Linked DNA regions of Stegostoma tigrinum. The protein of the gene in region 1 interacts with the protein of each later gene in a pairwise test. Links are inferred from orthologs where the notes say so. Each region holds a gene or a part of one and is shown in the gene's direction. Other genes may lie near its edges.

The links.
Region 2: the proteins of KH domain-containing, RNA-binding, signal transduction-associated protein 3 (region 1) and inpp5d interact in binary tests that used the Homo sapiens proteins (3 or more experiments, as listed by UniProt). The two-hybrid records come from large-scale screens. The link is inferred for Stegostoma tigrinum from reciprocal best matches to the Homo sapiens genes KHDRBS3 and INPP5D.
Region 3: the proteins of KH domain-containing, RNA-binding, signal transduction-associated protein 3 (region 1) and si:dkey-13p1.4 interact in binary tests that used the Homo sapiens proteins (3 or more experiments, as listed by UniProt). The two-hybrid records come from large-scale screens. The link is inferred for Stegostoma tigrinum from reciprocal best matches to the Homo sapiens genes KHDRBS3 and BAHD1.

The regions. Positions count from the first base shown.
Region 1 is NC_081358.1:103,391,356-103,399,127, forward strand, and holds the start of KH domain-containing, RNA-binding, signal transduction-associated protein 3, read left to right. Parts: upstream 1-4,692; 5' UTR 4,693-4,991; intron 4,992-5,142; 5' UTR 5,143-5,143; coding exon 5,144-5,234; intron 5,235-7,772. UniProt on the Homo sapiens protein: RNA-binding protein that plays a role in the regulation of alternative splicing and influences mRNA splice site selection and exon inclusion. Binds preferentially to the 5'-[AU]UAAA-3' motif in vitro.
Region 2 is NC_081367.1:11,628,919-11,636,338, reverse strand, and holds the start of inpp5d (phosphatidylinositol 3,4,5-trisphosphate 5-phosphatase 1), read left to right. Parts: upstream 1-4,413; 5' UTR 4,414-4,572; coding exon 4,573-4,706; intron 4,707-5,048; exon of another isoform or gene 5,049-5,063; coding exon of another isoform or gene 5,064-5,071; intron 5,072-7,420. UniProt on the Homo sapiens protein: Phosphatidylinositol (PtdIns) phosphatase that specifically hydrolyzes the 5-phosphate of phosphatidylinositol-3,4,5-trisphosphate (PtdIns(3,4,5)P3) to produce PtdIns(3,4)P2, thereby negatively regulating the PI3K (phosphoinositide 3-kinase) pathways.
Region 3 is NC_081363.1:79,326,050-79,333,715, forward strand, and holds the start of si:dkey-13p1.4 (bromo adjacent homology domain-containing 1 protein), read left to right. Parts: upstream 1-4,659; 5' UTR 4,660-4,672; coding exon of another isoform or gene 4,673-4,718; coding exon 4,719-4,744; intron 4,745-7,666.

The DNA.
Region 1 (7,772 bases):
ATAAGCACTCCAGAAATACACAAGTTAAAATGTTCAGGGTTTTCAAATTACAAATGAACTATAATGACTATTTTTTAAACACTAGATACTGAATCACATTTCTTGTTGCAAATAAGAAGCCTTTGCTATATTTAGTTTTGCTGTCTCTGTGTTCTAGACTTGAGGAAAAAAGACAATGCAAAATCCCCAAACCTGTTCAGCAACAAATGGCCATTACAGTAGACTTTGAACGACAACAAATGATACCGTTATAGTCATTTTGTAGTACATAACTCAACTATTATTGAGAGGTGACCTTATAAAGGTTTATAAAATCTTGAGGGGCATTTGTAGGATGAATAGCCAAGGACTCCGTCCCAGGGTAGGGAATCTAAGGAATAAAGTGAGAGGGGAAGGATCTAAAAGGCACCAGAGGAAATACTGGAGGCTGGTGCAATTGCAACATTTAAAAGGCATCTGGATGGGGACAAGAATGGGAAGGGTTTAGAGGGATATGGGCCAAATACTGGCAAATGGTACTAAATTAACTGAGGATATCTGGTCAGCATGGATGAATTGGGCCAAAGGGTCTCTTTCTAATGCTGTTCAACTCTGTGACTCAATGACTGTTGTTGAAAAAAAGAATCAATGTGTCAAAGCTGTTTGAATTGCTGTCATCAGGACAATTTATGAAAATACTATATTAAGAGGAAAACGAACATTTACACTTAAGAGAGGCCAGTGCTGGTTTATTGGCAAATGGACTTTGGTTGGTAAAGATGTTGCCATTCAGAAAGCAGCAGTTATTGATGGCTTCAGAGATAATGGGAACTGCAGATGCTGGAGATTCCAAGATAATAAAATGTGAGGCTGGATGAACACAGCAGGCCAAGCAGCATCTCAGGAGCACAAAAGCTGACGTTTCGGGCCTAGACCCTTCATCAGAGAGGGGGATGGGGGGAGGGAACTGGAATAAATAGGGAGAGAGGGGGAGGCGGACCGAAGATGGAGAGTAAAGAAGATAGGTGGAGAGGGTGTAGGGAGGGGATAGGTCAGTCCAGGGAAGACGGACAGGTCAAGGAGGTGGGATGAGGTTAGTAGGTAGCTGGGGGTGCGGCTTGGGGTGGGAGGAAGGGATGGGTGAGAGGAAGAACCGGTTAGGGAGGCAGAGACAGGTTGGACTGGTTTTGGGATGCAGTGGGTGGGGGGGAAGAGCTGGGCTGGTTGTGTGGTGCAGTGGGGGGAGGGGATGCACTGGGCTGGTTTAGGGATGCAGTAGGGGAAGGGGAGATTTTGAAACTGGTGAAGTCCACATTGATACCATATGGCTGCAGGGTTCCCAGGCGGAATATGAGTTGCTGTTCCTGCAACCTTCGGGTGGCATCATTGTGGCAGTGCAGGAGGCCCATGATGGACATGTCATCAAGAGAATGGGAGGGGGAGTGGAAATGGTTTGCGACTGGGAGGTGCAGTTGTTTGTTGCGAACTGAGCGGAGGTGTTCTGCAAAGCGGTCCCCAAGCCTCCGCTTGGTTTCCCCAATGTAGAGGAAGCCGCACCGGGTACAGTGGATGCAGTATACCACATTGGCAGATGTGCAGGTGAACCTCTGCTTAATGTGGAATGTCATCTTGGGGCCTGGGATGGGGGTGAGGGAGGAGGTGTGGGGACAGGTGTAGCATTTCCTGCGGTTGCAGGGGAAGGTGCCGGGTGTGGTGGGGTTGGAGGGCAGTGTGGAGCGAACAAGGGAGTCACGGAGAGAGTGGTCTCTCCGGAAAGCAGACAGGGGAGGGGATGGAAAAATGTCTTGGGTGGTGGGGTCGGATTGTAAATGGCGGAAGTGTCGGAGGATAATGCGTTGTATCCGGAGGTTGGTAGGGTGGTGTGTGAGAACGAGGGGGATCCTCTTGGGGCGGTTGTGGCGGGGGCGGGGTGTGAGGGATGTGTCGCGGGAAATGCGGGAGACGCGGTCAAGGGCGTTCTCAATCACCGTGGGGGGAAAGTTGCGGTCCTTAAAGAACTTGGACATCTGGGATGTGCGGGAGTGGAATGTCTTATCGTGGGAGCAGATGTGGCGGAGGCGGAGGAATTGGGAATAGGGGATGGAATTTTTGCAGGAGGGTGGGTGGGAGGAGGTGTATTCTAGGTAGCTGTGGGAGTCGGTGGGCTTGAAATGGACATCAGTTACAAGCTGGTTGCCTGAGATGGAGACTGAGAGGTCCAGGAAGGTGAGGGATGTGCTGGAGATGGCCCAGGTGAACTGAAGGTTGGGGTGGAAGGTGTTGGTGAAGTGGATGAACTGTTCGAGCTCCTCTGGGGAGCAAGAGGCGGCGCCGATACAGTCATCAATGTACCGGAGGAAGAGGTGGGGTTTGGGGCCTGTGTAGGTGCGGAAGAGGGACTGTTCCACGTAACCTACAAAGAGGCAGGCATAGCTGGGGCCCATGCGGGTGCCCATGGCCACCCCCTTAGCCTGTAGGAAGTGGGAGGAGTCAAAAGAGAAGTTGTTGATGGCTGACGGGTAATTGGCAAACCATGCAACTCTGAATATAAAAGCATTTCCCTGAGAAATGATTCAGCGAATAGACTATCACCTACTTTGTTGGGTTGATACAGGTCTAGTGCTGGTACATGTTCCCGACTGTAAAAACATGGCTGTTTGCCTTAATATATCTAGATTGCAGTATATATGAGTCTGCCACACTGTGAGCCTGACTGACAATTTTAAATAATACTGTGACGTTTCCCATAGAACCAGAGTCAGAATCATAAAGTGTAGAAACAGACCCTTCGGTCCAACTCTTCATTGTCAACCAAACTTCCTGTAGAAAGGCGCAGGAGAGGAGATTTCTTAAAAGTAAAATATGTCCAGCCCATTGATACCTCAACAGTAAAGTACTTTTCCACACCCACCACTGCCATTAATTCTGCAAAAAGAGAATTTGTAACTTTAGTATCCATGGGGCTCAATATTTTTCAAATACTTCCCTTCATGTCTCAAGATCTGTGGAAGTTCTAAAATATCATTCCAAACATCCTCCACAAGTCTTCATCATTCTTGGAGATTTGCTGTTCCACAACAGTCAGTTCAGTAGTTCATTGCCATCGAACGGTTACGACTTGGACGTGCAACTGAGTGTGGCTAGAATAAGGCTTAACACATTCAGGACAAGGAAGTCGGAAAAAAAGGACAAAACTACTGATCTAAGAGTTTCATTGCATTTGGAAAACAGAACACTCTATTGGTACCTTTCAGCCTTGCAAATTACAGAAATGAGATATTAAACCAAGGAATGTCTGCTCTCTCGGGCAAGTGTGAAATATTCCAATAACACTGTTTCAAACGCTAACAGGGAGATAGCCTGGTGTACTGGCTAATATTTATCCTTCAATGATTATGAAAAAATCCAATTGTTTATTATCATATGTTTGCCTTGGGAGTTTGCTACATGTTAATTTGTGGCTGCGTTTTCCAATTTTAAAAAGTGACCACTGTTGAAAAGTACTTCACTGGCTGTAACTCTTTGGGGTGGCCTGAGCTTATGATAAACGATAAAAAGACGCAAGTCTTTCCCTTGGTTTAATTAATTTCCCGTTAATTATATTCGCATATTTTAACTAAGAGTGATTAATAAAGTGATAGGACTGAATATAATGAGGGTACGTTACATAATTCGAATACTTTCGGCAGCAATAAATGCAGCAAATATTTGGGGAAATGTGCAGAGTACAACTTAAACCACAGGGAGGCAGTATTGCCACTTCCCAAATAGTCGTGCACAAGTGGTGAGTAATTTCTCCCCAGTCAAGCAGCAGCACACATGATGTCTATTCTAAACATACTACCCCTATTCTATTATGGACCTATCAACTCTGCCTTATTTTCAGTCGGATTCAGTCAAAACGCCTCACCCTTTTGCGCACTGGTTGCGAAATTAAAATGTCAATAAATATGTAGCAATTCATTGCACTGAGCTCAAAATGAAACTTTACACATTGGCTAGGGGCGTAAAAAAAACAAAAAAAAGCGCCAGATGTAGGGAAAACTGATTCGGAGAATACGAAGTGACGGAGAAGTCAGTTCATTGCAGGGCCGGTTTGAGGAGTTTTTTACGACTCGCTGTGGGATATCGTATGATGTAAATGGAGGGACAGAAGTGACGGATTTGATTGACGGGCCCCAGGTAACTGGAGGACCTGAGCGAATGGGTCTGCGCTTGGCGATGATTGGGAGGCAGGTGAGTGGGCGGGGCTAGTGTCAGACAGGTTAGAAGAGGGGCGGGACCTTTGCGACACTGTCCAGGGATGTTTACTGGGCGGGGCAAGAGCGAGGGAGGCTGGATTGCCCAGGTGAAGGGGGCGGGGCCAGGGTTTGTTGACGTGCCATGTGCTTAGGTCAGGGGATCGGGGTGATTGACAGTGCAGTGTCGTGGGGCGAGGCTACGAATTGATTGACGGGCAAATGGAAGGTTGTGAATGGACGTTGGGGGGGAAAAGGCGTGGTTATGAGCGACGCGAAGGGGCAGACAGGGGGCGGGCCACGAGATGATTGACAGGCCTGGGACGCGGTTTGGAGCGGTATGTGTGGATAGTAGGGGGGAAAGACACTTGCCGCCACAAAAAGCCGGGCTCCTATTGGAGAGGGTGGGACCTCCCGGTGACGCTGTCCAATGGTTGGGCACAGACTTGGCCCTGATTGACGTCTGACAGACCAATGGCGTGGGAGGGACGGTGAGATGCAGGAGAGGCTGCGGACGGTTATTTTTGATTTCTATTTCTCAGCCTGCCCCCTCCCCTCATCGTCCTTTATAATCTGCGTTGTCGCCTGAAGCGGAGGGAAGGGGGTGAAAAAAAGAGACGAGGGCGAGTAAAGAGCAGAGCACGAGTGAAGTGAATAGAAGTGTGTGTTTGTCTGTGTGAGGGAAAAGACAGAGGAACACGAGGACGGCATTGGCACCTTGGAGCCGGGATCTTTTTTACTCTCCTTCGGAGTCGGGGTTTTTTAATTCCCTCGGTACTATATTTCATTTTTTTTGTTTTTAAAGATTAAATGTACCAGACACGCTAAATTATGCCGGCAGAGCCGGACGCTGTTTATTTTACTCTTCTGTACTGAATAACTGTTTTCTTTTAAAATCATCCAAATCGCCCCTTTTGCTGCACAGGATGGAGGATAACAAGTACTTACCCGAGCTGATGGCCGAGAAGGACAGTCTGGACCCTTCTTTCATCCATGCCACCAGGCTGGTGACAGCAGGTAGAAGAACAATATCTTTTGTCACGTAAATAAAAGCAAACTTTCCAATTATTCTTCGTGGGGAACATCTAAATTCACATCAGACCTCTAAATTAGAATGTAATAGGGCATTTAACCGTCTTTATTTAAAAGGCTTGATTTAGAGTAATTGATTTTTTTTGTTTCATTTTAATTTTGGCTATTTACATTTATGCGCTGTGATGGGGTAAGAATAGTTGCCGAGTGGATAGGAATTTCCTGATTTGTAATCCTTCTTCCCCCCCCCCCCCCGCTTAAATCAGTGAAGATTTTTCTGTTGCCGTTGTCTGTTAGTTTCACACACTCGTGAACATCCAGACATTTCTTCTCACCCAAGGGGGTATGTGTCTGATTTTTAATTTTTGTTTCAGTTTTTGGCCGTTCCTCGACAGACGTAGATTTGAAGAGTTTAGCTTAGTTGAACAGTTAACACGATTGAGACATGCGTGTAGGTTTGCGAATGCAGGCAAAAAAAAATGTTTTAGACCATTTTTAAAATAATCATTCACGATCTGTGCGTGGTTTTTGTTCGTGTCTGAGTATTTAATATACTCATGTTGAATCATACTTCACCGTTAGTTTACTGGACAGCCTGTTTGGTCCCTTGAACTTTCATGCGAGAACTTTTTCTATTGTCTTAAAATTTCCGTTAAAAAAATATATATGTAGACACATTAAACTCAATGTAAATTTAAACGACAAGAATTCTACATATATCGAAAGGCTTATTTTTGCATGTCTACTGCATCGGTTAAGTTACTTGTTTGGATGGAAGAAATGTCACCCATAAAAGCCTTTGTTCGTAAGGATGAAGCCTTGCGGATAAAGCTGGATCCTTTATCATGGAAGAATAAAATTGTAGATGCCAGTTAGAGCTGGATGTTAGAAGATTGTTTCAGTGTTCTTTGATTTATTTTGGTGTCTCCAAGCAGTGCTTGGAAGAGGTCTAGGAAGATGGATTAACATGAAGTATACCAGTACCAAAATGCATAGATGAGTCAAAAGCTAAGGCAAAACTGGGCTCTACTTTACTGATGGATGGGGGTAAATAACCATTCTTATTTGGTAGTCTTTATTTTAAGTGAATGCAAAATTAACTTTTGATATGCCAAAGATTTAACTCATTCATACATGTTTTGGTACTTTTCATGTTTTAGTGGTTTTTGATTTTGAGATGAGCTGCCATTAAACTGATGAAGATTAATGCATATCTAAGCTATGTTTTATCTAATTAAAATAAGACCTCATCAATTTAAAAGTATTGTTATACCATGGATGTATTAAATTCTTTTGTATGCTAACTGACCTGTGTGTAAACTTAAAGCAGTTTGCTAAAGATTTTGTAAAGGCATATGTAGTATTTAACAATCTAAAGTTTATTGTAGAAATACAGATGCCTTGTTTACAATACTTGCTTAGAGGTGGCAACTCATTAACTTTCAAAGTGGTCTATATGCACCTTTTTTGACTTAGCATATTTTACAGGCATGCTGCCTATACTTGTCTCTTTACTGTTGTGAATTTTTATAATGGGAAGCCTGCAAGTTTTAATGAAACTTCAAAGCCTCTAATACCTTGGTTCTATTAAAATTGTGCCATTCAAGGCTTTTCTAAGAGAAAATTATAAAATTTCTTGGTGTGGTTGCTTAATGTGCATTTTTATTACAGTTGTTGCCAATATGTTCACATGAAGCTGCTGATGTTCTAACTGTAACTAATTCGACTGTGTAAGGCAGGTTTTGGAATGGAGGCTGTTACAAGGAAATAATTGAATGGATGTTATTTGTATTTTTGGCTGAAAATTTAGCATGTAATGTGGGCATTCTGCCCACATACCTCCATGATAAATAGCAGTACGCTGCATGTAATGAATGGCACCCATTTATACTTGCTTTTGGAAGTACTTTACTACAGTAGTGTAGAGAGGAATCAATAGTGTATGTCTCCAGAGATGCTACTGCTAGCTTGTTTTTCAGGTCACTTCTGGATTCAGGGATGCTTCCTGTTGTTTGTTTGCAATACAAACTGGTTGAATCAAACTTGAAACTGCAGTATTTTGTGACTGTTTCTTTCGAATGCTGTTATGTTCTTTTGCCAATTGTAAAATGGGTTTTGTGTGACAAATTGTATGCTTGCCTTTTGTGGAGCAGAAGTCCTTGACTATACATTCTTCTAAATATATCTAGACTTTTCAAATGATCTGAAGTTCACGTGTGAATTAAGTTAATCATTTCAAATATGAAAAAAAAGGTGGTTCAAGGAAGTTGAAGTGGTCAGATTGTACATCTGCAGCCATCAGAAACAATTTTATTGGATCAACTACCTAACAGATTTTTGCGGAATAAGAATAAGTGAAATATTTAGTTTTTTATATGAAGTGTACATACTGATTGGAAACTTTTCATTATAAAAAATATAATACTAAATTATTTGAATAACCTTTTTCAGTCCTGTTGATTGCACTTGTAATCTTCAAATCCATGATATGCCATTTGTTGTAGGGCTTGGAAAATGGTTAAA
Region 2 (7,420 bases), on another chromosome or scaffold:
GTGGTTATTTTCCCTGGAGTGTGGGAGGCTGAGGGCTGTCCTTAGAGATGTTTATAAAATCATGAGGGGCATGGATAGGGTGAACAGCCAAGGTCTTTTACTTGGGGTTGGAGAGTCCAAAACTAGAGGGCATAGATTTAAGTTGAGAGGGGAATGATTTAAAAGGGATCTGAGGGGAAACTTTTTCACACAGACGGTGGTGCATATATGGAATGACCTGCCAGAGGAAGTGGTGGAGGTTGGTAGAATTACAACACTTAAAAGGCATCTGGATAAGTGTATCAATGGGAAGGGTTTAGAGGGATAGAGTTCAAAAGCTGGCAAATGGGACTAGATTAATTTAAGGTATCTGGTCAGTATGAATGAGTTGGACTGACGTTCCCTTTCCATGCTGTTCAGCTCTGTGACTTCATGCTCTGTGGCTGACAGGGAATCTTTTGCAAGGGTACAGACAGGCAGTTCTGAAGCTATCTAACTCCAGGATGTTTTGCTATCTCCCCAGTGCTGGAGACAAGGATGTCCCAGAGCAGCTGAGGACAGCTGGGGAGGGTGAACAGCCCATGGTTGTGGTCCTGCTTGACACTAACAACATATGTAAGAAGTGGGATGCACATGCTATTAAAGGGAAAATGATGATGTGGCTAGGAAATTGGTGGAAGGAGACCAGGCAAAGAGTGATGGTTATTTTCTTTCACACTGGGGGAGCTGTTGGAAGGCCACTGCTGGTTTCCAAACTCATGTAAATACTGGTGAATGGTTTGTTGGGAATCTGGATAAGAGTGAGCCGCTACAGGACTTAATGGTCATGGATGGCATATTCATAATTTGGAAAAGCTGCAAATCTTTTCAATGCGCCTTCTACTAAGAACAGGAGAGTTTCTTGTGGCAACCACAATAGCGTCTCCATCTTAAAGAAATAACTCCAGAAGTTTGTCTTGCCACAAAGAGTACTGAAAAGTTTCCTGGATGTTATTAGGAAAGGAATAAATGGTTTATTGGGTGTTATTTTTTAGGAATCATTCATGGATTGTGAGCATCACAAGCTGTGTCAGCACTAATTGCTTGTCTCTATTGCTGTCTGCCTTCTTGAGTTGCTGCAGTCCATTGGTGGAGGCACACTTACAGTCCTGTTCCAGAAGGGCGTTCTAGGATTTTAATTGACAATGGTAATGGAATGGCCACACAGTTCCTAGTCAGGATAGGAAGTGAAGTCTGGGCTCGGAGGGGACCTTGCAGATTGCCGTGTTATGTATCTTCTGTCCAGTTCTTCTCGGTGGGAGGGCTTGTGTTTTTTTTCAAGTTGTGGTCACAGTAGCCATGACGAATTGACGCAAACTCAAGCCTTTTGCAATTTGCGTGTAGTAAATAAAGATGACACTGTGGGTTAGTGGTGAAGATGTTATCTGTGGTGCTGTTTTAACCTGGATAGTGTTGAGCTTCTTCAGCAATATTGAAGCTACATTCATCCAGACAAGTAGACTGTTTTCGGTTACACTGAGCCATAGAATCATTGAATCCCTACAGTGTGGGAGCAGGCTAGTTGGCCTATTGAATCCACACTGAACAGCTGAAGAGCACCCCACCTAGATGCATACCCCCCACCCCTATCCCTGGGATGCTGCATTTACTATGGCTAACCCACAGAGCCTACATATCCCTGAACACTAGAGAGCAATTTAGCAATGGTCAATCTGCTGAACCTGCATATTTTTGGACTGTGGGAGGACACCAGGAGGGAATCCATGCAGACATGGTAGAATGGGCAAGCTCCATACAAACAGTCACCCAAGGCTGGAATCAAGCCTGGATCCCTGGTGTTATGAGGCTGCAGTGCTAACCACTGAGCTGTTTGAAGTCTATCCATTTAGCACAGTAATAGTACCACACAACACAATGTACAGTATTATCATTGTGAAGCAAGATTCCATCTTCACAAGGACTGTGTGGTGGTCACTCTTACACTTACTATCTTGGACACCTCCATCTGTGCCAGGCAGATTGGTGATGCTGAGGTCAGGTATGTTCTTCCCACTTTCTGGTTCCCTTTCTACATGGCGCAGACTCAGGCTGGCAACAATTTTTTTTTAGGACTAAATCAGAAATCACTGGAAAAGCTCAGCAGGTCTGGCAGCATCTGTGGAGAGAAATCATTATTACCATTTTGGGTCAAATGACCCTTCCACAGAATTTATCTTCTGGGACTGGCCAGCCTAGTCAGGGGTACTACTACCGAACTATGTGTGATAAACATTAGTGATAAACATTTAAGTCCTCCACTCAGAGTGTATTCTTTCCATTTTCACAGCTTCTACGAATGGAGGAGTACTGATGCGTTAGTCGGGGGTGAACGAGTGTTTGGAGTGGAGTCACAGGTTGTGGTCAGCAAGTGGTTTCTTTTCCTACATTTGACCTCACTTCATGGGGGCCTGAAACAATGTTCAGGATTCCCAGGCAACTCCTTCATCAGTGTATACCTATGTGCTGTAACTTCTGATGGGTCTGTCCTGTTAGAAGGATCGGCTGTACCCAAAGATGTTGATGGTGGTGTCTCAAACATTGTGTGTAAGATACAATTCTACAAGCATGAATGTCACGCTGTTGCTTGACTGATCTGTTGGACAGCTCTCCCAGTTTGCTACAAGCCCCGGACATTAGAGAAGAAGACTTCTCCGGTTCAACAGAACTGTGCTTTATATTGTCATTTGTAGTGCCTGGGTCAAAGTTGGGTGATCCGTGTAGTTTAATTCCTTTTCCAAATTTTGAAGTAGAAGGATACAACAGTGTATCTTGCTAGGCCATAGTCAGAGGACATTTAAAGTCAACCACATTGCTGTGAGCCTGGAGTCATATGCGAACAAGGCCAGGTAAGTATGGTTGTTCTTCCTTCCATTTAGAGACTGGAGTGAACCAGTTGGCAGGTGTTAATGACAGAGGAGTGAACAGTTTGGGAGAATTGGCAATGAGAGGAGTGAAGGGTATGGTGGATGCTAGTAAGAAGGGGTTGAATAGCTCAAGCATATTAGTGTCATAGAGATATACCGCACAGAAATGGACCCTTTGGTCCAACTTGTCCACGCTGATCAGATTTCCTAAATAAATCTAGTCCCATTTGCCAGCATTGGGCCCATATCCCCGAAAACCCTTCCTATTCATATACCTATCCAGATTCCTTATAAATGTTGTTATTGTACAGGTACTACCACTTCCTCTGGCAGCTCATTCAATACACGCACCATCCTCCGCGTGAAAAAGTTATCCTTTAGATCCTTTTTAAATATTTCTCCTCTCACCTTGAACCTATGCCCTCTAATTTTGGAGTCTCCCACCCTGGGGAAAAGACCTTGCCCATTTGCTCATTCACCCTATCCATGCCCCTCATGATTTTATAAACCTCTATAAGGTCACCCCTCATCCTCTGACACTCCAGGGAAAATAGCCACAGCCTAGTCAACCTCTCCCAATAGCTCAAACCCTCCAACCCTAGCAACATCCTTGTAAATCTTTTCTGCACCCTTCCAAGTTTCACAAAATCCTCCCTACGTAGGGAGGCCAGAATTGCATGCGGTTTTCCAAAAGTGGCCCAACCAGTATCCTGTACATCTGCAATGAGAGTGGAGTAGATGATGTGGGGCTGTTAATGTGATTGGAGGCGAATAGTTTCTTGCATATCGATGAGAGAGGAGTGAATGAATTGAAAGGTGAGAGGGGACTGGTTGAATAGTTTGAGGGAAATCAATGAGACGGAAGTGAATGTTCCAGTGAGTGAGGTGGGGGGGGGGGAGAATGTTATTGATGAAGGACAACTGAATGTTCTGGAGGAGGCGTGTTAATGAGGGAGGAGTGAATGTTCAGGGGTGGGGGTTGGCATTATTGATGAGGGAGAAGTGAATGCTCTGGAGGAATGTGTTAACAAAGGAGAAGCGAATGTTCTAGGGCAAGAGGTTGTCAATGAGGGAGGAATGAGTGGATGGGGAGTGTAATTATCAACAGAAGCGTCAATGATGCTGAAGGCGTTGTTATTGAGGGAGCTCTGATTGTTCTAGTTTGGGGGTTGCTAAAGAGGAAGGAGTGAATGGACTGTGGGGGTGTGGTGTTAAAGAGGGAGGAGTGAGTGAATGGTTTGGAGGGTGTTAATGACGGAGGAGTGAATGGGCCAGGGGAGGGGTGAAATTAACAATGGAGGAGTGAAAGAATGGTTTGGGGGTGTTAATGAGGGAGGAGTGAATGAGAGGGTGGAAGAGAGGAGTTACTGACGGAGGAGTGAATGAATGGTTTGGAGGGTGTTAACAAGGAAGGAGTGAATGGGCTGTGGGGGTGTGGTGTTACTGAGGGAGGAGTGAGTGAATGTTTTGGAGGGTGTTAATAAGGGAGGGGTGAATGGGAGGTACTGATGCACTGGTAATAAACTGAAACACGTGTGGTTTTCTTTATGTCAGATTGCGCTTTGAGGAAGTGAAATTCAGTCCGGCTTCGTCACGCTCAGGAAAGGCTGGCTGAGGGTGAGCTGACGCCGGGTTCGTCTGTTTGAAGCGGCAGCCGAGGTTTGGATGGAATAAGGAGTCGGAAGGAAAGATGAACGATCGCTGGTACCATGAGGACATCTCCCGGCCTATGGCCGAGAGCCTACTTGCTAAGGCGGCTCAGGACGGCAGCTTTCTGGTCCGGCACAGCGAGTCCTGCGAAGGAGCGTTAGCCTTGTGCTTGCTGTAAGTCGGGGCGGGGTGCACTTTCACTGGAGGTTATAGTCAGGCTGGAAGCAAGGGGACATTCTCCTAGCCTGGCTGCCACACAGGACCAATATCTTTATAAAAGATGGGCTGCTCTATTCACTTGTTTGCTTCCTACGTGAAGGCGTTACTGTATATGTACAGTACACCGATCTCAGTCTTGTCAGTGCAGCGTTATTGCCTGTTGCAGGGTTTCGTGATGACTTATCCCCACCTTTCAACTATCACCTGGTATTCGAGTGCTCATTCTCAGCCCAGACATCAGGCTCGGGGTCCTGCAAGTGATTCATCTGGCCGCTTCCCTCGGACCTGTCTGCAGCGCCAAACGGCAAGGAAATGGTTAAGTGCGTTGCTGCAGTTCGCAACCTGTTGACTTGTGCCTTGGGGGGTGCAGTTGGCCTTTCTCTCCTTTTCACACTTTTTTTTTGGGGGGGGGCAACTCTCTGACTCTTGTGCGTTACAGCCCGTGACAGAAGATAGGCTTCCCTTAAAACTAAGATAATGAAATGTGAGGTTAAACTTAAAACTAGTTGCACTGATCCGACCTTAGCGTGTTTCCGTGCAGAGAAATTGATTGAGATATCTGTGATAAAATGCTACACGCTCCTTTTTCCTGTATCAGAGTTAAACTGGAGCTGGACTTAATTACTGCAACTTTTGCTTTCCATGCTGAGATGCTGCCCAAAATATATGGGTCAATCGAGACAGAAAATCAATTATTTCAGTGGTCAGTGATTACACTTTTAAAGATTTCCCTCTATCAGTGGTCATAACATTCCAGTGAACACTTTCCCATGCTTTCTCCTCTGTTCATTCCCACAGATTATACCTTCAGTCCCACTCAGGCTTTTACTGGAAATAGTTCCAGCAACTTTGACCTTCACCATGTCCTTCACTTTTACAGTGTTGGTGAATAATTGATAGTTTGTTCCAGAATGAACCACTGCTTTCTAGTGACCATATCAGATGAAAAAAACACTTGCACAAAGCACACTGGTAGGGTCCCTAACACTGGATTAGGAGGCCCCAACTGCTTTAGCGGTGTGTAATAATATCACTAAACAGGTTGATTAGGAAATCTGCACTTGAAATTAATTTGCCAATTGCATAAATGCCCATCTTGCAATTCATAACAGCCAACTGCGTGGTAATGTGTTTCGATAGAAGGAGTCGAACACCTGAATAAGATGCAGGAGGAGTTCATTCGGCCCTTCAAAACTGCTGCTATTTCAGTACAATTAGGGTTGATCTTAATTGGATCCTCAAATCTGCATTTCCATCTGCTGCATTTTAAGCCCCTTGCTTAACAAGGACACATCTACCTGTGCCTGAAAAACATTCAGGACTTTGCTTCCATAGTCTTTTCAGGGAGAGGTTTCTAAAGGCCCGTAGCTCACTGTAAAATAAAAATTGCCTGTTTTAAAATTCTAATTATAATTAGCTTTAATTGCCACATGTACTCACCAGCATCAGTACAGTGAAAAGTTTACAAGCTGCCACTTACGGTGCCATCGTAGATACAAATGTACCTAGGCACAGGTATTAAGACTCTTAATACAAAGCAGAAGAACAAAAAGCAAGCCAAGAAGTTAAACATTACAATCCTACCAAAGAAACACAGGTAATAATTCAGCATCCTGGGCTCGTATTTCTCACAAGGCTTGACTTCACTCATCGCCACCTCGGACTGTCTGCTCCCACTCTCTCCACCAGCCATCTCAGGCTGCCTGGTCCCATTGTCACTGCACATCTCCAAGGCTGCCTGCTTCCACTCTCTCCACCTTGGGGTTGCCTGCTCCCACTCTCGCCGCCAGCCATCTTAGGCTGCCTGCTCCTGCTCTCATCGCACATCTCCGAGGCTGTCTGCTCCCACTGTCACTGCTGGCTGTTTCAGGCTGCCTGCTCCCACTCTCACTGCATATCTCCCAGGCAGCGTGCTCCAGCTTTCACCGCTGGCTGCTTTGGGTCACTTGTTCCAGCTCCCACTGTTTTGTTTTAGGAAGAGTGTTCACCCACCATTAATCAATGATCCCTAGTTCTAGATTCTCCTAGAAGAGGGAACATCTTTTCCATATCTGCACTGTCAAGATCCCTTAGATCTTTGTTTCAATCAAGTTGCCTCATATACTTCTAAACTCAGCAGACACAAGCCAGGCCTGATAACACAGGTTTTAGTCTGGTAAAACTTCTCTAAAGTACAGATGCATTTATATCCTTCCTTAAATAAGGTGACAGGAATGGGATAATACAGTAATCAGGTGTGATCTGAGCAGAGCTGTTTATAGTCAAAAGGTTAAATACTAAACAAGCATATAAATAGGATAGAAAAGCAAAAGAAATTCTTATGGTACAGATGGATAAGTCCCTAATTAGAGACACAAATTAATAAGGTCATAAATAAGTAACTGGGTTGTTCTGAAGGGTCTAGGCCCGAAATGTCAGTTTTTGTGCTCCTAAGATGCTGCTTGGCCTGCTGTGTTCATCCAGCTCCACACTTTCTGTCCCTTTGTAAATGCAGGATAACAGTCATAAACATCAGAAATTATTTTAAAGTTGTACAGCACATTACTTAGACTACACTTGGAATGTGAACACTCTGACTTCATTCAATAAAAATGGGAGTGACCTCAGTTTTCAAAATTTCAATTTTTTTGATAGTGGGTGGGGTCAGTAGGGGATGTGGTCGGGGAGGA
Region 3 (7,666 bases), on another chromosome or scaffold:
CACCTGGAGTACCATGTGCAGTTTTGATCCTAATACCTGAAGAATATTCTTCTACTTGAAGAAACACAATGAATTTTCACCAGACTCATTCCTGGGACAGCAAATCTGACTGGGCAAACTGGGCTTGTATTCTCGAGAATTTCAAAGAATGAGAAGTGATCTCATTGAAACTGACAAAATATTTAAAATGATGGATGAGGTAGATGCATATCACTGCAGTGTTCCAATGGTCAGTGTGAGTGCAGATTTTGGTGCTGCTGGGATTAGTGTGAGTGCAGATTATTATATTACTGGAATCAGTAAAAGGTTACTCCAGTGTTGCTGGGCTCAGACTGAGTGCAGGTTCTTACAGTTCGCTGCAAATGTTGCTGCTATCATTGTTAGTCCCGATTTCTGCAGTGCTGCTGGGATCAGAATTAATGCAAATGACTGCAGAATGGCTGGGATCAGTGTGAGTGTGGATTATTGCATTTTTGTTGGGATCAGAATGAGAGCAGATAAGTGCACTACTGCTGAGATTAGTGTGAATGCAGATTAGTGCAGTACTGCTGGGAACATTGTAATACTCTTTCCCCAAAGCTGCTTTTCTTCATTTATTGTATCAAAGGTTTCATTCCGACAACCTTACTCGATTCTCTATCACTCTTTCTTCATTTTGTTCTGCACACTTTTCTTTTTCTGATCTTCTCTGGGTCACCTACACTCCTGTTTCTTCATTTTCACTCCTTCCACATTCTTATTTCTGATCTTCATCCTCATCAGCTTATCGACTCACACTCACACCTTTACTCTAGGACGCACATTCAATGTGCTCCAGTTTGTGTTCTTTGCCTCTCCTTTTCTACTCTGAGCTATTTCCTTCCCTTTTCTCTGTGCTTTCTACAGTTTTCTTCTTTCTCTTGGTGCTCTCTTATAGTTGCCTAATCCTTTCTTTCCTCATTTCCCTTCCTCTTGATTCTTTGCCTCTTTCCTCTAGACCTCAGCTCAACCTGACCAGATTTTTTCACTCCTACTTTCCTCTTTGTTCCCTTTGACCCTCTACTTTGTCTGCTTATTGTTTCCTCCTCTACGTTCTTTTCCTCTTTTCACCCATTATCTCCCTTTTCCTAACCACCCACCCTTCAGACCTATTCATTCTCCTGCTTCTTTTTCTACATATGTCCTTCCTTCCCTCAGACTTTTCCAAAGATTCTTTATTCATAAAACTTCTAAAATTACATTAAGTGACTGTTCAAAGTTGACATTACATAAAGGGCAAACCAAATGCTTTTCTTCTAATACCATATATTACTCATTACACTTACAATTACAGCTGATATTTATAAGATTCATTACATTTCTGACGTACAGTCCAGGAGATTTACCCAGTTTTGAGACTCTTGGTGTATTAAGGCTGAAAGGGTTTAGACAGTGACATATCCCCATTGCATCTGTGTGGTAGCTGCCCAAGAGTGAATATGACCCTCAGCACATAGTCCTGGACGTTGGAACCTATCTGTCTACAACTCTTGGTCAGAGATAACTCTTGCAGTAAAAGACCAACAGGTTTTCAGCAGACGAAAGGGGGGTTTTCAATATGTTGATGGTCCTACATATGCTGAGGTGGTTTCTCTCAGTCTGCATCCCTGGGAACAGCCATAGAGAACAGAGTTGCAGAGCTGCTCAAGGTGAACCTCAACAAAAACCATCTTTTCCAGGCCTTCTTTGCAAAGGCAAATTCAACAAGGAGATAGGTAAGGATCACTTCCCCACGCCTGCAGGCTCGAGGGCAGTTGCCAAAGTGGGTGAGGCACCAGGCATGTACGAAAAGATCTGGTTAATGGTGAAGGACTTTTTTAAAAATTCATTTAATGAACTGTGGGCATCGATGGCTGGACCATCTATTGCCCATCCCTTGTTGCCCTTGAGAAGGCAGTGGTGTTCTGCCTTCTTGAAATGCTGCAGTCATGTGCTGTTGGTAGACCCACAATGGCCCTAGGGACAGAATTCCAAGATTTTGACCTTGCAACACTGAAGGAACAGTATATATTTCCAAGTCAGGATGGTGAGTAGCTTGGAAGAGAACTTGCAGGTGATGGTGTTCCCACATTTCTGCTGACCATGTCCTTCTAGGCAGAAGTGGTTGTGGGTTTTGAAGGTGCTGACGAAGGAACATTGGTGAATTTCTGCAGTGCATACTGCTTTTACTGAGCATTGGTAGTAGAGAGAGTGAATGTTTTGTGAATGTGGTGTTAATCAAGTCAGCTGCTTTGTCTTGGGATAATGTCAAGCTTTCTTAAGAGTTGCTGGAGCTGCACACATCAAGAAAAATGTGCAGCATTCCATCACAATCCAGGCTTCTGCCTTGTAGATGATGGACAGGCTTTGGGGAGTCAGGAGGTGAGTTACTCACGACACAATTTCTGTACTTTGACCTGCCATTACAGGTCATATTTATATGGCTAGTTCAGTTCAGTTTGTGGTCAATGGTGACCCAAAGGATGTTGAAAGTGGGGTGTTCACTAATGGTAATGTCAGCAAATATCGAAGAGCCATGAATAGATTCTCTCCTGTTGCAGATGGTCATTGTCTGGCACATTGTGGATACAAATGTTACTTGTCACTTTTCAGTCCAAATGTGGATCTTTTCCAGATCTTGTTGCATTTGAACACGGACTGTTTCAGTATCTGAGGAGTCACAAATGGTGCTGAACATTGTGCAATCATTGGCGAACATCCCTGTTTCTTACGTTATTTTGGAGAGAAGATGACTGGATGAACTGCTGCTGAGATGTTCTCAGCTGAGATGATTGACCTCCAGCAATCACAACCATGTTCCTTGTGCCAGGTATGAATCCAGCTGGTGGAGAATCTTTTCCCCGATTCCCATTAACTTCAGTTTTGTTAGAACTCCTTGGTCCATACTCGGTCAAATGCTACCTTGACATCAAAGGCTGTCACTCTCAGCTCCCCCCTGGAATTCAGCTGTTTAATGAGGTCAGGAGCTGAGCCCAAACAGGGCGTCACTGAGCAGGTGCTGCTTGATATCACTGTCAATGACACCTTTCTCACTTGACTGATGATCAAGAGTATACATACATGGGACAGTAATTGATGGAATTAGTTTTGTCCTGCTTTTTGAGTACAGGACATGCTTGGGCAATTTTCGACACTGTCAGGTAGATGCTGATGTTGTAACTGTACTGGAACAGCTTGGCTAGGGGAGCAGTGCTGGAGCACAAGTCTTCAGTATCATCGCTGGAAATTTGACAGGGCCTGTTGCCTTTGCACTATCCAGGACCTTCGACTGTTTCTTGATTTCACATGGAGTGAATCAAATTGGCATTTTTGATGCTTGCTGGAGGAGGCCTAGTTGGTTCATGCATTTGGCAATTCTGGTTCAAACATTTCAGCCTTACCTTTTGCACTGATGTGCTGAGTTCCCCTATTCATGAGGATAGGAATATTTGTGGAGCCTGTTCCTCCAGTAAGTTATTTAACTGTACATCACCATACAACTGATGTGAATGACTGCAAAGCTTAGATCTGATCTTTTGGTTGTGGAAACTCTTAGATCTGTCTGATGATGTTATTTAGTTCGATTGAGCCTCATTTTTAGGCATGCCTGGTGCTGCTCCTGGCATACCCTACTACAATCTTCATTGAAGCTCCTCACCAGCAGCCACCTGACATCTTGGTTCTCATTGTTACATCTGGAGGACATCACATTTGGTGCATTACCAAGATGGGCCTGTGGTTCCCCAAAGGTGTTTATCTACATAAACCTTTCCACAAGGTACAGTTGGGAGAGCACATTCGCAGAATCCCTACCATGTGAAAGCAGGCTATTCCACCCACTGAGTCTACACCAACCTTCCAAACAGCATCCCACCCAGACCCAACCCCTTACTGTATCCCATGGCTGTTGCACTTAACCTACACATCCTTGGACACGGAGGATAATTTAGCATGGCAATCCACCCAACCTGCACATCTTTGGACTGTGGGAGGAAGCCGGTGCACCCAATGGAAACCCACATAACCGCCTGAGGGGGAAAATCGAACCCCGGTCCCTGGCTCTGTGAGGCAACAATGCTAACCACTGAGCCACCCATTCCATTCACTGCCTAGGACCACAGCAATCCAGTCTTTCGAACACCAGGAACAGGTAGAAGTTCAGAGGTGTGTTTACTCCTGCGGGGGGGGGGGGGGGGGGGTGAAGCTGTTCCACGCGCATCTTGATGCAGCCACTGTTGCCCTGTCAACCAATCTTTCATCCCTAACCTTCCTTCTTCTGGAGTCTGTGTGTGTCTGCTGTCGGTCTCCACCAGTAACTGAACCGCATGCAGGTGCACTGTTTTTGCTTTTTGGGAGGAGGAGAGAAGGAGAGGGGAGGAGCTGGGCACATCCCACCGCAGTAAGGCTGGAAAGGAGGAGAAAGGAGCTCTTGTATGAGAGAGAGAGGTGTAGACCCTGAATACCAAATAGACTCCTGGAGCAGCTGTAGCCGAGAGTACCTTGGACCATCCCGGAAATCCTAGTTCACTCGCCTCTTGCGGGCCAGCATCATGTGGCTGAGCGGCGTCTCAGGGATCCGTGCTTTCGGTGAGGAGGAGGAGGAGGTGGCGGCGGCGGCGGCGGCGGCGGGCGAACGAGCTCTCGTCCGCCAGGGCTGGCTCTGAACGGAGCGCAGATGCAGCCGCAGAGGACTGCAGCTAACGGCAGCCCGGGCCGGGACGATGGATGGGCGGAGGTGCGGGAGGAGGTGAGCCCGGAGTGTGGGCTGTTGTCGTTTGAAGGGGGCGAGGGGCGAGGCTGTTGCAGTGCATAGGTTTTTAATTTTTTTTTGCAAGCATCCAATTGAAAATATGACCCAGCCCAGGCAGTGCAGAGAGAAATGGGAATATTCTGCACATTGACGAGTCCAGGGGTCGGCAGACTAGGGGTTGCAAGCCAGGCTGTTTATTTTTCGTTTCGGTGAGGTCGTTTGTCAAGTTTTCACCTGTGTTTCGGCTTTAGATCGGAGGTGGGGTGTTCGGTAGGGACTCCGAAATTTATGCTTAAAATTGCAAGTGTCATGAGCTGCCCGTTAGCAGACAGAGAGAGAACAAAACCCAAGATAATGAGGGACAGGGTGTTTGAGTACGAGAGAGAGAGGTGACTGCAGAAACGCAGAGTGCTAGGGAAACCCACATATGGAGACCGGAATCTTGTCAGACTGACCTAGAGACAGGCGGAGACAGACTAGGGTACAGGCAGTTCCACAATGCCTGAAATCACGCTTTGGGAATGGTACAGAGAGCCGAGAGAGGGAGACAGACACCTGGGAATGAGACACAGGTAGAGACAGATGTATTTCTGAGATGTAGAGATAGCGGGACGCCAACATAGCCAGGATCGGGAGCGAAACCAGGTCGGCAAACATTGAGATTCTCAGCGAGGGAGACGCGGTGGCAGAGACATGGTGAACCAAGAACACGGAGAGTTGGTGGGTGGGGAGCAGGCCGGGGAGGGAGAGTAACCTGCCCGCTTACATGTCAGCCACTCTCCAGCTCAACCCCTGCCCCCTAGCCCTTCCCCGTGTTTGCTTCAGTTCGACGCAAAGGTTTTGAGGAATGTGCAAGATTTGGCACTATCAAAGAGCTCACGGTCTCCCAGTTCACGGGCAGGATCAGAGAAAGCTGATGTGGAAGGAATCCTTATTTTTAAAAGCCCTCATGCCATTCAGAGTGTTGTGGGGCATCAGCCCCTGGTGTTACTGGAGATTTCTGTCTGTATCTGCGCCTGTGAGAGAGAGGTGAACATTCTGCACTCAGTTCAATTTGTATATGCCCTCGTTCTGCAGTGTTCTCGCTGCAATTTAAAGCAGGCTGTATGGTGAGAACTAGTGAAGCGTTTAAGAGCCTGTGGGATCTGCTATCTGGCACCACCAGATGCTTCCATTTTAGCGCACCTCAGATCCATTAGCCCTCCCGCCAAGCGGATGAGCCTGGAATTTAATTCCTGGAGGGGGAAAGGCTACACCATCATGGAGATGTCACCGGGGTGTGAGAGTGTAGTTTATTGCAAGGAGATATATACCGATTATACCCAGTCTATCTGGAATTGTATGTTTACTGACATTATACCCAGTCTCTCTGAGACTGTGTACTGACATTGCAGTCCCGAAGAAGGATTACTGGACCCGAAACGTTAGCTCTGATTTCTCTCTACAGATGCTGCCAGACCTGCTGAGGTTTTCCAGCAATTTCTGTTTTGCTTCTTATACCCAAATCTAGAACTGTGTACTGAAATTATGCCCAGTGCAACTTATGGTTTTGTTCAGGGGATATCAGATCTAACCAATTTGATTTAATTTTTCGAAGACATATTCAGGTTTTTAGATGAGGATAATGTATTTCATGTGGTCTAACACAATGTGGAGCTGGAGGAACACAGCAGGCCAGGCAGCATCAGAGGAGCAGGAAAGCTGACGTTTCGGTTCCCCCCACCCCGACTACATGTCCACCCTGGACCTCCTCCAGTGTCACAACGACGCCACCCGGAAACTGGAAGAACAACACCTCATATTTCCGCCTTGGAAACCTACAACCCAATGATCTCAATGTGGACTTCGACTTCACTTGCTTCAAAATCTCCCCACCCCGCCCTCATTCCATGACCAAAGCTCCCTCTCATCGCCGCATCCTTGATTTGTCCGTCCTCTCTCCTACCTGTCCGCTCCTCCCACCTCACTGACGAATCCTCAGCACTACCTACCTGCCCTCACCTATCACCATCCCACCTACCTTCCCCAGCCGAACACCCGGTATTTATTTCAGAGCCCCTCTTCCCATCCCCCATTTCTGAAGAAGGGTCCCAACCTTAAAGCTTTCCTGCTCCTCTGATGCTGCCTGGCCTGCTGTGTTCCTCTAGCTCCACACGGTGTTATCTCAGACTCCAGTATGGACAGTTATTATTATCTTCTTGATGTAGTCTAGTTGGACTTCAAGGCCTTTGTTAAGGTCCCATTGTGAGACTGATAGCCAAGGTAAGAGATCATGAGATCCAAGAAAATCAAATTGGATCCAGAACTGGTCCAGTGCTTGGAAGCAGAGGGTGATGGTGGAGGGTGTTTTTGTGACTAGAATAGCATGTCAATTGGGGTCCCACAGTTATCACTGTTGGGGCCCTTGCTGTTTGCAGCATATACAAATGATTTAGAACTGAATGTATGAGAGTTGATTCGTAAGTTTGTGGATGATACAGAAATTGGTGGGGTGGTAGGAGGATAGCCTTAAATTACAGGATGGGCTCTTCAGATTGGTTGATCAATAGCAAATAGAATTCAATCTGGATAACTGGCAGGTAGTGCACTTGGGCAGTACAAATAAGACAGTGCACAATGAATAGTAAAACCTTGGGAAGTACCAAGAATCTGAGGGACCTTGCTGCACATGTCCATTGGTCCCTTAAGGTATCAGGACAGATGGATAAATTTTTTATGAAGCTCGCCTTTATTAGCTGGGACAGAGAGAGATTAAGAGCAGGAAGGTTAAGCTGGAACTGTTGGTTAGGCCACTGTTAGAATATTGTGTGCAGCTGTGGAATCCACATTATTGGAGGAATGTGATTGCACCGGAAAGGAGGCACAGAGGAGCTTTACCAGCATCTTCACAGGATCTTTAGAATTGTAGTTATGATTAGA